Linked DNA regions of Canis lupus familiaris. The protein of the gene in region 1 purifies or fractionates together with the protein of each later gene. This does not show direct contact. Links are inferred from orthologs where the notes say so. Each region holds a gene or a part of one and is shown in the gene's direction. Other genes may lie near its edges.

What was found.
Region 2: the proteins of EEF1A2 (region 1) and EEF1G purify together in Homo sapiens (affinity purification with mass spectrometry; 4 studies listed by BioGRID and IntAct, counting the BioPlex papers as one, with this or other methods). This does not show direct contact. The link is inferred for Canis lupus familiaris from reciprocal best matches to the Homo sapiens genes EEF1A2 and EEF1G.

What each region holds. Positions count from the first base shown.
Region 1 is NC_049245.1:47,945,524-47,951,737, reverse strand, and holds part of EEF1A2 (elongation factor 1-alpha 2), read left to right. Parts: intron 1-1,308; coding exon 1,309-1,488; intron 1,489-1,833; coding exon 1,834-2,130; intron 2,131-3,500; coding exon 3,501-3,651; intron 3,652-5,497; coding exon 5,498-5,754; intron 5,755-6,214. UniProt on the Homo sapiens protein: Translation elongation factor that catalyzes the GTP-dependent binding of aminoacyl-tRNA (aa-tRNA) to the A-site of ribosomes during the elongation phase of protein synthesis.
Region 2 is NC_049239.1:54,582,800-54,589,075, forward strand, and holds part of EEF1G (elongation factor 1-gamma), read left to right. Parts: intron 1-468; coding exon 469-532; intron 533-687; coding exon 688-830; intron 831-1,379; coding exon 1,380-1,523; intron 1,524-3,877; coding exon 3,878-4,007; intron 4,008-4,311; coding exon 4,312-4,516; intron 4,517-6,276. UniProt on the Homo sapiens protein: Probably plays a role in anchoring the complex to other cellular components.

The sequences.
Region 1 (6,214 bases):
CGCGTGGGGTTCCTGTGTCTCCGGGGCTGAGGGGGTGATGCCCTCACTTGTCCCAGGGCTGGGCCAGGACTCAGGGCGGCTATTAATAGCTGATTGATGGGCACCCAGCCCATCAGCTCCATTTTCTCAGGCTGGGCTGGGGAGGGCTGCTCGTCCAGGGTGGAGCTCTTTTGGGGGGGTCCTGGTTGCCTCTTGTGCCTCGTGACAATGATGGGGGCCCCGTTGACTGACCTCCTTTCTCTTAAGTGGCCGAGCCGGTGGGTGGGAAGTGACCACGGAGTGGGTGTCTGCCCTTTGCAGCCTCTACCCCCACCCCTGGGCTCCGGGAGAGGCCCCGTCTGGGTGGCCGTGAGGGTGTTTCCTGGATGACAGGGGCTGGGGCCTGGGCCCAGGAGGCCTCAGTTGCCGGCCTGGGCTGACCCTGCTCAGAGTGAGTGTGTGGGTGTTGCGCTGGGCGGCCTCCCTCCGCGCCTGAGCCCAAAAGCTGCGTCACTCCCTCCTTCCATGCGGGGTTGGCGCTGGCGGAGGCTGTGGGGGTTTGCAGGATGCCTGGCTCAGGTCTCGCTGGGTCCCCTCTGGGCCCTGTCTGGGTGGCCCTCCTGGCTGGGCAGCCTCCCTGGAGGCCAGAGCCCTGTCCATGCACAGCCCTGCGGGGGTTTTGTCCTGCTGGGCAGCAGCCTCAGCTCTGGCCCAGGGTATGGGGGTCTCCGCCGGGCTGGGCACAGGTGTCTGCAGGTGGAGCCTTAGAGCTACTTGGAAGCCTTGGCTGTAGAAAGAGCTGGAAAGCCAGGCCCTTCCATGCAACCTCATCCAATTTCCTTTTTTTCCCTTAAAAAAAAAATCGTCATAGAGGGTTTTGTTTTGTGTTTTGGGCTTGACACCTTGACGGTGGCGTTGTGGGCCTCCGGTTCATGCAGGGATCTCCGGGGCTGGGGGTGGCCAGCGCGGAAAAAGGGGAGCCCTCAGCCAGGGGAGGGGTTTAAAGGCCTGGTGGCTTCTCTCCAAGCCTGGCTCCCAGGCCCTTGCGCCACCTCCTGGAGGACGTCCGAATGGCAACCATCTAGAGGGCAGGAGCCGGGGACACCGGGTGGCAGGGCCCGGGCAGGGCAGGGCTGAGGTCTGGGTGCCCCTCAGGGTCCTTGCTCCTGGCTCCCTCATTCTACAGACGATCAGAGCCCTAGGGCCCCGTGGGGAGTGAGGGAGCCTGGCACCCAGGCCTCTGCTGCGAATGCTCCCGTGGCCCAGGGGGACCCGTGGCCAGCGGGCTGAGTCCCGGGTCCCTCCTTAAGCCATGCCCCACCTGTGCAGATGGGGAAGGGCTCCTTCAAGTATGCCTGGGTGCTGGACAAACTGAAGGCGGAGCGGGAACGTGGCATCACCATCGACATCTCCCTCTGGAAGTTCGAGACCACCAAGTACTACATCACCATCATCGACGCCCCCGGCCACCGTGACTTCATCAAGAACATGATCACCGGCACATCCCAGGTGGGCGGGGCTGTGGGGGGCCAAGGGGACCCGAGGGGCCAGGGCCCTGGGGTCCTGGAGGGGTGGCTGGGCTCCCTCCGCTTCCTTGCCAGGGCAGGCACCCCCCACCCCACCTGCTACAGAGCCGCCCCCAGAGAATGATTAGGTGCCCGTCACCTCAGCCAGGCAGAGGGGCCGGGAGGGACTGTGGGTCAGGGCCGCCGTTGCAGACAGACACACGGACCCAGATAGACGGCCGTCCGCACGGATGGACAAGGCCCTGCTGCTGCCCCTGGTCGAGACCCCTGGGGCCCACCCCCGGGCGACCGCCTGGAGGGGCCCGGGCTCACGGCGACCTGCGGGCAGGCGGACTGCGCGGTGCTGATCGTGGCGGCGGGCGTGGGCGAGTTCGAGGCGGGCATCTCCAAGAACGGACAGACCCGCGAGCACGCGCTGCTGGCCTACACGCTGGGCGTGAAGCAGCTCATCGTGGGGGTCAACAAGATGGACTCCACGGAGCCGGCCTACAGCGAGAAGCGCTACGACGAGATAGTCAAGGAGGTCAGCGCCTACATCAAGAAGATCGGCTACAACCCGGCCACCGTGCCGTTCGTGCCCATCTCGGGCTGGCACGGGGACAACATGCTGGAGCCCTCGCCCAACGTGAGTGCCCGCGGGCGGGCGGGCGGGTGGGCGCGGGGCTGCGGGGACCCCTCCCTGAGAGCCGGGCCCGGGCGCGGACCAGGCGCGGGCAGGACCCGGGCTCCCCCGGGCATCCACGCCCCGCCCTGCTGCGCTCGCTTCCGCGTGGGGCTCGTGCTCGGGGCGCGGGCCTCGTGGCCCCGCGAGGCCGGCACAGGCCCCTTCCCTGGCCAGGGGTGCCCCCTCCGGCGGGGAGCGCGGGAGCAGTGCCGCCGGGTCCGAGGCCCGGTGCTCGGTGCCTGGGGGCTCTGCCCGGCCCGTCCTCACCTTGCCAGGAGCCTCTGCGGGCGCGGGCAGGTTAGGCTCTGGGAGGGGCCGAGGGCTCGCTCTCCACCGGCCGGGTGGGAAGCCTGTGGCTCGGGCAGCCTGCGGCGCGGGGACTGGGGAGGTGAGGAATTCTCAGAGCCTGAGGCCAGGTGCCTGGACAGTGGGGCCAGAGGACGCGCCTGGCCCAGGAGGGCGGCCGTCTGCTCTGGCCAGTGCTGCGGGCGGGGAGGGGCCCTTGAAGAGCCAGGGGGACTGTCCTGGAGCCCTGTGGTCAGGGGACGAGGCTGGGGACCCTGCCCCCGGCTCGCTGGGCTGCGGGTTTGCCTGGTGAGGGTCCCACACGGCTGTCGTGTGGCGATGGGTGAGTGGACTGCACTCCCCACCCTCCCGGGAGGCGGACAGGGCGCCCTACCCTAGAGTGTCCCGTTCCTGACCTGCTGCTCGGGGAGCTGGCTGCTGATCTGTGCCCCCCACAGGACCCAGTCCCACCGGGCGGGCTGGGCGGTGCTGCCGGCCCCTCGCCTCTGCCTGCCCGTGGCCAGCGGGCCGGGGGGCTCCATGCCAGGAGGGTGCTGGGTCTGCTGCCGGGAAGCCCTGGGCAGGGAAGGGCCAGCCGGGCCCGGAGACGGTTGGCACAGTGGCTGGGGGCCGCGTGGACTCTCTGCCTCTGGCCTGGCCGCTGGCCAGCCTCCAGCCCTTCCCGCGCCGGTGCCAGCCCTGCCCGGGGGGTCCGAGGGCTGCAGGAAAGGGGGACTAAGCGGGACTGGGCTCCACATCTTTTCCCCGACCTCTTCCAAGGCTTCCGTGATGTTGGGAGTGTGAACTGGGGGGTGAGGAGGGTGCGGGGACCAGCCGTGCAGCATCGTGATGGACGTGGGTAAAGAGCTGAACATTGGGCAGTGGAGAGGGCGGGTCTGTGCTCCCCTGCTCCCCAGGCCCCCCTCAGGTCAGGTACCTCCACCGGGATTCCTGGAGGGTCCCGGGAGGCCGTGGGGCTATGGTGTAGGGCAGCGAGGGTGCAGGAGGTCTCTCCCTCCAATGGATACCTTCTTCTTCCCATCCAGATGCCGTGGTTCAAGGGCTGGAAAGTGGAGCGTAAGGAGGGGAACGCCAGTGGCGTGTCCCTGCTGGAGGCCCTGGACACAATCCTGCCCCCTACACGCCCCACAGATAAGCCCCTGCGTCTGCCACTGCAGGACGTGTACAAGATTGGTGGTGAGTGAGGGTTCAGTGTTGGACACCTGCTGCTCCACTGGGGGCACCCGGCCCGCCCACCCCGCTCCTGAGCCCAGGGCCCCTGACAGGAGCTTCTGAGGCCAAGTTATCTGCCTCTTCCCCAGTGCTGTACACTCTGGGGACCATCCATCCATCCGTCCATCTCCCATCCATGCTCCATCCCTTCATCCAACCATCCACATATGCATGTACCCCCATCCATCCCTCCATCCTTTCATCCATTCCTCCATCCCTCCATCCCTCCCTCCATCCATCCCCCCATCCCTCCCTCCCTCCACTCCCTCCCTCCATCCATCCATCCATCCCCCATCCATCCCTCCCTCCGTCCATCCTTCCCTCATCCTTCCATCCATCCATCCATCCATCCATCCATTCCTCCATCCATCCATCCATCCATCCCCCATCCATCCATCCCTCCCTCCCTCCCTCCCTCTATCCTTCCATCCATCCATCCATCCATCCCTCCATCCATCCCCCATCCATCCATCCTTCCCTCCATCCTTCCATCCATCCATCCATCCATCCATCCATCCATTCCTCCATCCATCCATCCATCCATCCCCCATCCATCCATCCCCATCCATCCATCCCCCATCCATCCATCCCTCCCTCCCTCCCTCCCTCTATCCTTCCATCCATCCATCCATCCATCCCCCATCCATCCATCCCTCCCTCTCTCCCTCCCTCCCTCCCTCCATCCCTCCCTCCATCCTTCCATCCATTCATCCATCCCTCCATCCACCCTTCCCTCCATCCATCTCTCCATCCATCCATCCATCTCTCCGTCCAGATAGCTATTTACTCCCACACATTCATCTGTCCATTCACCCATCCATTCATCTACCTGTCCATGCATCCATTCAAACATCCATCCACCTGTCGATTCACACAGCTGTCTACCCTCACAATCCATCTGTCCATCCACCCGCCCACCCACTCATCCACCTGTGTATCATCCATTCACACATCCATCCACCCCCACCCATCCACCCATCATCTGTTTCAGGGTCTTCTTCCCTTCAGATAAGCACTCAGCCCTGTGACAGGAGTGGGTGGCACAAGGGTAACTCACATGTCCCCTCCCTCCATGACAGTCCCAGGCTTGTGGGAGACACGATCTAGTCCAGCTCCAGGCATAAGAAAATCTATTCATTAGATGACAGGGCAAGCATAAACAAGCACAAGGCCCTGAGGGGCACTGCTGGAGACTCCCAGTCCAGAGGCTACGGGCAGGGCAGGGCAGGCGTGACACACTCACCCGGCACACAGAACAGCCACCAGCCTTAGTCTCTGTCGCATCACAGCCAGGGATGTGGGGGTGGAGCCTCCCCCCCACACATGCGGGGCGGGGGGGGGGGGGACCAGACACCCACTGGGCAGCCACGTGAGTGCAGCAGGTCCATGACTAGGGGTGGAGCACCCGCCCCTTTGGGGGTGGCTCCCCTCGACACCAGCAACAGCAAAGCCAGGCCAGGAGTCCCGGGTGGGCTGTTCATCCGCCCACTCTGCTGCTGCCGCCTCCCCAGGAGGGGAGTCCAGGGAGGGAGGGGTCCCTACAGTGCCCCTCCAGGGGATAGCTGCCGCCTGGGGCAGGGGTAGGACTCCAGGTCCAGAGAGGCCTCTCTTTGCCCATGTCGCCCTCCTGTTGCTCCTGCCCAGGCATTCCTGGGCATTCTCTCTTGTTCAGTCTCTTCTGTTCCTGACAGGGCCAGGGGAGCCTCCACTTGTGTCTGAACCCGTGTCTGCCTTGCGGGGTCTCCCCATCCCCTCCCTCCATCTCTGGGGCTACACCCCACCGGCCCCTCACTCCCCCCTTCCTCCCCAGGCATTGGCACCGTGCCTGTGGGCCGGGTGGAGACGGGCATCCTTCGGCCGGGCATGGTGGTGACCTTCGCTCCTGTAAACATCACCACGGAGGTGAAGTCGGTGGAGATGCACCACGAGGCTCTGAGCGAGGCCCTGCCTGGTGACAACGTCGGCTTCAATGTGAAGAACGTGTCGGTCAAGGACATCCGTCGAGGCAACGTGTGTGGGGACAGCAAGTCCGACCCACCCCAGGAGGCTGCCCAGTTCACCTCCCAGGTGGGCGGCCCTTCCCTCAAGGGCGGGAGCAGGGCTGTCCCCGGTGACGTGGCTGCCTGGCATTAGCAGAGTCCTTGACAGCCCCTTGGCCTGGTGCTTGGGAGGACCCGGACCCTGGCCTTCCAACCAGGCCACCGAGGCTCAGGGGTTTGCGCCAGGGCCGGGGGCCCAGGCCTCCTGAGAGTAGTTTTATGTAAGGCCAGAGACATCTCTGTAAACTGGATTCTCTACGTTTTCACTGCACCCTGTGTGACCTCCGAGGTGTAGTGCTCGAGGTCCAGTCTCTCCTCCCCCGTCGCAGCTCCGGCCTCTGCAGACCGCACAAGCCCGGGCCCCTGGCCCTTCACGGCACCCATCTCCTTGGCTTGCCAAAGGCTTCATGAGGACCCTGGCGCCTATGTCAGGGGTGGGGGTCCCCCGTGGCGTGACCGGCCCTCATGGCCAGCACCCAGGCCCGGGC
Region 2 (6,276 bases), on another chromosome or scaffold:
AATGGGTTTTGGCTGTTTTCAGCGCAAATATATCGAGTATCTGCCATGAGCCAACCAAAGGGCTTATCGAGGTCGATAAACAACCATGCTAAACAGAGAAGAGATAAATGCAGTTCAGGGAGCACCACAATACTTTCAAGAATACGGAGAGAGATGACACTTGGTTTTTGGTCTTTTGCATATTTGATTGAGGGATTTTATATAAACAGTTGATAATATTTAAATCTTTGCGGTTTCTCATGTGAGTTCACATTGTAAGGGATACCAAGTTACTTAAATTTTATTTCTGGTTCCTAAGTTTCAGATTGTAGTAGTTCATATCAGTAGTTTGCTTAGTAAGGATTGTCAGCCTTATGTAAGAACTTTATCCCAGTATTGGCTGGTGAGTAATTCCTGATTGTTTTACCTAACGTTTTTTTTTTTTTTTTTTTTTTTTTTTAATTTTATCTTTTGACTGTTTTATCCCAGGTTCCAGCATTTGAGGGTGACGATGGATTCTGTGTGTTTGAGAGCAATGCCATTGCCTACTATGGTAATTTGCAGTGGGTGTGGGAATGGGAAGACCAGGAATGAAGGAGGTAGGAGAGGATGAGGGTGAGCTGTAGTGGACAGGAGAAGAATTTTTACGGACTTGGATCGATGTTGGCCTGACCCCAAAGTTCTGACCTTTGTGTTCTGCCTCTGCAGTGAGCAATGAGGAGCTGCGGGGAAATACTCCAGAGGCAGCAGCCCAGGTGGTGCAGTGGGTGAGCTTTGCTGATAGCGACATAGTGCCCCCAGCCAGTACCTGGGTGTTTCCTACCTTGGGCATCATGCACCACAACAAGCAGGTAAGCCTTGGAACTTGGGGAGAAGCCAAGGCCCAGGATGAAATCAGCTCCTGAGTGTCAAGGAGCAAGAAATAAAATAGATTGAGAAAAGGAGATGCTAAGAATTTGTGGATAATAAAAGACCTAATCTTTGGGGTATGAGTTTGGAGCACTGCTGTTGATAGTGTCTGGGTTCTTTGTTACACAGACCCAGTTGGAGGTGGTGCCTGTCATGAGTGGTCAGAGGAGAGATTTCTGTTATAGAAAAGCTATCCCAAATGGTAGGGGAGTGGTTACATCAGGTGACTTCTAAGGTTCCTTCTAAAATTCAAAGATAAAGGACTAGGTCATATAGTGGGAAATTAATCCAGACTGCACCATGAGGAAATTTGACCTTGAGAGCTTCCTTTGTGATACATTTGGAGTGATCTGGAATCTGACTCCATTGAAAGAAGATGGGGATGAGCCAGAACTTTGTAAGTGAAATAGCTACCTTAGGTCTGTCATTGGAGGGGAGAGGGAAAGGGATAGGTATCCACTATTAAGTTTTGAATCCTTTTAAATCAATAGGCCACAGAGAATGCAAAGGAGGAAGTGAGGCGAATTCTGGGGCTCCTGGATACTCATTTGAAGACGAGGACTTTTCTGGTGGGCGAACGTGTGACACTGGCTGACATCACAGTTGTCTGCACCCTGTTGTGGCTCTATAAACAGGTGACATTTATAAAGAATTAGGTTGGCAGAGGATAGGGGGCGGTTAGAAATTAAGCCATTAAGTCTTCCAGGTTACCCTGTATTCTGCTGAGGACTTGGATGTGAAGGGTGTCGGGTAACTACTAGTCTATAGGAATCCCAAGTTTGAATACCATGACTACCTTCCCTCCTGAGAAGTTTGGTAATGTTCTGTTTCCTGAGTTTCTGTTTGATAGAAGAGATGTGGTTTGTTTCTGTATTTTTGGGGTCCAGCTGTGCTTGTGCTTAGTTGTAAAGACAGGAAAGGCGGGCAGCCTGGGTGGCTCAGCGGTTTAGCACCGCCTTCAGCCCAGGCCGTGATCCTGGGGTCCCGGGATTGAGTCCCATGTCAGGCTCCCTGCACGGAGCCTGCTTCTCCCTCTGCCTGTGTCTCTGCCTCTCTCTCTCTCTCTCCCCCTTCCTCCCCCCCTCCCTCTCTCTCTCTTTTCTCTCTCTCTCTCTCATGAATAAATAAATAAAATCTTTTTTTTTTTAATTTGTATTTATTTATGATAGTTACAGAGAGAGAGAGAGAGAGAGAGAGGGGCAGAGACATAGGCAGAGGGAGAAGCAGGCTCCAAGCACCGGGAGCCCGACATGGGATTCGATCCCGGGTCTCCAGGATCGCGCCCTGGGCCAAAGGCAGGCGCTAAACCGCTGCGCCACCCAGGGATCCCAAATAAAATCTTTAAAAAAAAAAAAAAAGACAGGAAGGTCTGGTAGCTTCAGTGTCCAGATCTTTTGGAGGCAGGCTGGGTTCAGTTCTTAGTTTCATTACTTACTAGTTGTAGGTAGAGGGATGTGTGTGTTTGAGAGAATTCCTTGAGTTCTTTTTTTTTTTTTTTTTTTTCTCCTCTGTAAGCTATAAAATCAGCATGGTAGTAATTAGTTTTGAGGTTTTTGGGTTAAAGAAGATGACATGTTGCTGACCAAGCAGCTATTGGACTAATATGGGTCCAGAATAGTAGTGCAGTAATTGGAAAATAAAAAAGCATCTCCTTTGTGTCAGGCTCTGTGTCAAGGGCCTTGCAGGGATCATCTTAATCTTTACCTGCTGTATGGGTGAGGAGAAATGGAACCTGGCCCAAGGGAATGTAGCTAGTAAGTGTGGCATAGAGTTTGAACCCAGTACTGCAGAACCAGAGCCAAAGAACTGACCGCTCTGTTCCGTCTTCTTGACAAGATTATTTTCCATATAATCTTAGCAAACTAAAAGATGGTAAATGAGTTTTTTACAAAGCTAAGTTTAAAGGACAGTTTGTTATTCTGAAGTACTTTTTTGCCTTTTTTTTTTTTTTTTTTTTTTTTTTGACTGTTGAATATTCTTTAGCTTCTGAAGTTTGGTGAATAGTATATATCATGTAGATAATTGTGGTTTACTTAGTAAAACGAGTAATTGGTAGCTGTGTTGCCCTGCCTTTTATTTATTTGCTTTAGTTTTATTGATATGACTTTTTTTTTTTTTAAGATTTTATTTTTTTGAGACAAAAAGATACAGCATGAGCAGGGAGGGAGGGCAAAGGGAGAGGGAGAAGCAGGCTCCCGGTTGAGCAGGGAGCCTTAATGTGGGGCTTCATCCCAGGATGCTGGGATCATGCTGGGATTACGACCTGAGCCAAAGGCAGACTTTTAACCTACTGAGCCACCCGAGTGCCCTGACACGTGACATTTAAAAGGTTGGAATGGGTAGGCCTGGGTGGCTCAGCGGTTTAGCGCCTGGTTTAGCGCCTGCCTTCGGCCCAGGGTGTGATCCTGGAGTCCCAGGATCGAGCCCCACATCGGGCTCCCTGCATGGAGCCTGCTTCTCCCTCTGCCTGTGTCTCTGCCTCTCTGTGTGTCTTTCATAAATAAGTAAATAAAATAAAAGGTTGGAATGTGGGACGCCTGGGTAGCTCAGCGGTTGAGCGTCTGCCTTGGGCTCAGGGTGTGATCCCTAGTGCAGGGATTGAGTCTTGCATTGGGCTCCCTGTGAGGAGCCTGCTTCTCCCTCTGTGTTTCTCATGAATAAGATTATAAAGAAATAAAGAAAGATTGGACGTGTAGATGAAATGGTTTTGTAAATGATGTAAGGCACCATATGAACGTGTCTACCAAGTAGATTTATAGTAAATGAGGGGATGGGATCGAGTATCCGCTGAGTTGGACTGTATAGTGAAAAAGAGGAAGGTAAATGGGAAGTACCCTTCCAGGGTAAGATGGTATACTATACTAGGGAGCTCCCATCTCAGGGATTGAGAGGAAGATTGGAGCTTTGGTGTAGAAAGAAATGTCTCTGGCTTGAAACTCCTCAAGAACTTTCTCTCCTTTGCTTCTATTCTACCCTTATGTTTTGACAGGTCCTGGAGCCTTCTTTCCGCCAGGCCTTCCCCAATACCAACCGCTGGTTCCTTACCTGCATTAACCAGCCCCAGTTCCGGGCTGTCTTGGGGGAGGTGAAACTCTGTGAGAAGATGGCCCAGTTTGATGGTAAGTCTGTGGAGATACAGGAGTATATGGCCTGGCTCTGGGCTGGTTGGCTCAGTCTCAGTCCCTTGATTTCCCATCAGGCTTTTGGGTTATGTGAACCCACAAATAAGGTTCACGTATATTTGTTGCTGAGGGTTGTGTTCTTGCTTCAGGACATACAGGGAACTGGTGGCAGAGCAGTGCAGGGCCTAGATCCCTTAGTTCCCTGCCCGGCAGTTTTCCTCCATTACCCTGCTCACTGCCTGCTTTTAGAGGCATATGGAAAGAGGGAGGATATTGACTTCTCTCCCTTTTTCTGCACCAGCTAAAAAGTTTGCAGAGAGCCAACCTAAAAAAGACACCCCACGGAAAGAGAAGGGTTCTCGGGAAGAGAAGCAGAAGCCCCAGGCTGAGCGGAAAGAGGAGAAGAAGGCTGCTGCCCCTGCTCCTGAGGAGGAAATGGATGAATGTGAGCAGGCACTGGCTGCTGAGCCAAAGGCCAAAGACCCCTTTGCTCACCTGCCCAAGAGGTAATGATATTGGGGGGTAGGGGACATGGGACTCCCAAAGGCCACTTTTTGCCTCTGTGTGTTCCCCTCACACAGCTAGGGCTATTTTAGGTTGTCCATACAAAATTGAAAGATGTTTTGTGGGCAGCCCGGGTGGCTCAGTGGTTTAGTGCCACCTTCAGCCCAGGGTGTGATCCCGGAGACCCGGGATCCAGTCCCATGTCAGGCTCCCTGCATGGAGCCTGCTTCTCCCTCTGCCTATGTCTCTGCCTCTCTCTCTCTCTCTCTCTCTCTTCTCTGTGTATTCTCATGAATAAATAAAATCTTAAAAAAAAAAAAAAGATGTTTTGTTTGCAAGGAAAGTTTATCCTCAAGAATTGGATTAATTATTTTATTTTATTTTTTTATTTTATTTTATTTATTTTATTTTATTTATTTTATTTTATTTTAATTATTTATTTTATTTTATTTTATTTTATTTTATTTTATTTTATTTGGGGATCCCTGGGTGGCTCAGCGGTTTAGCATCTGCCTTTGGCCCAGGGTGTGATCCTGGAGTCCCAGGATCAAGACCCACGTCCGGCTCCCTGTGTGGAGCCTGCTTCTCCCTCTGCCTGTGTCTCTGCCTCTCTCTCTCTGTGTCTTTCATGAATAAATAAATAAAAATCTTAAAAAAAAAAAACACAAGCATTTAAAAAAAAGATTTTATTTATCTGAGAAAGAGAGTGTGTGTACACCTATAAGCTGGGTGGGGAGGGGCAGAGGGAGAGGGAAAAAGCAGCAGGATCCCTGCTGAGCAGGGAACCTGACCTCATGACCTGAGCTGAAGGCAGACACTTAATCTACTGAGCCACCCAGGTGCTCCAAGAATTGGATGAATTTTAAAAGTGGAAATGAAATTTCTAATATATCTAGTATTTGGGAAGATAAGAACTCCTTTTCCAGCAAAGAATGTAGACAGGCACAGAATTGGGTGTGGAGGTAGACTGGTCTTAAGTATGCTCAATAAGATTTGAGAGTCCTCAGAACTAATATAAGAAGGTGCAGAGAGCCTCATGTCTACCCTGCTGGGCTGCCTTTGCTGAAGCAGTGACACCACATCAGTGTTGTTTTATTATATTTTTACCCTTTTGATGAAGGCAGTATAAACATTCTCTCTGAGAAGCGAGGATGACTATGACTCCATAGTGCCTGTCTGCTTCATTATTTCTCAGATTGCTGGAGTTAAACCCCTAAAAGAAAAGGAAATAGATGGGACGGTTGTCACCCCTATCCACTGCCAACCTTTTTAATGAAGTTTGGGGTTCTTGGAAGAAAAGAATACAGTAAAAGGAAACTTTTCAGTGTGAAAAAAAGCAGGACATCTAGCACTACTCACATCATCAGCTAATGCCCTAGGTTTTTCATTAGAATTGCAAGCATTAGGAGACCTGTCTTGTCTGTGGCCACTTCACAGAGTCCTTGATCCCAGCTTTTCTCACCCACTCCCTGCTTTTCTCACCCACCCAAAGCCATCCAGCCTTTCTTAGTTGGTCTGTTAGGGTTCAACAGAGTTCACCCTCTGCCATTTTGTAATTTTTTTTTTAAGATTTAATTTATTTTAGAAGGGGACAGTGTGTGCATGAGTAGGGGGAGGGGCAGAGGGAGAATGGGAGAGAGAAGCAGACTCCCCATTGAGTGCAGAGCCCAAAACGAGGCTCCATCTCATAGCTCTGAGATCATGACCTGAGTGGAAATCAAAGTTGGATGCTTAACTGACCGAACCATCCACGTGCTCCTTG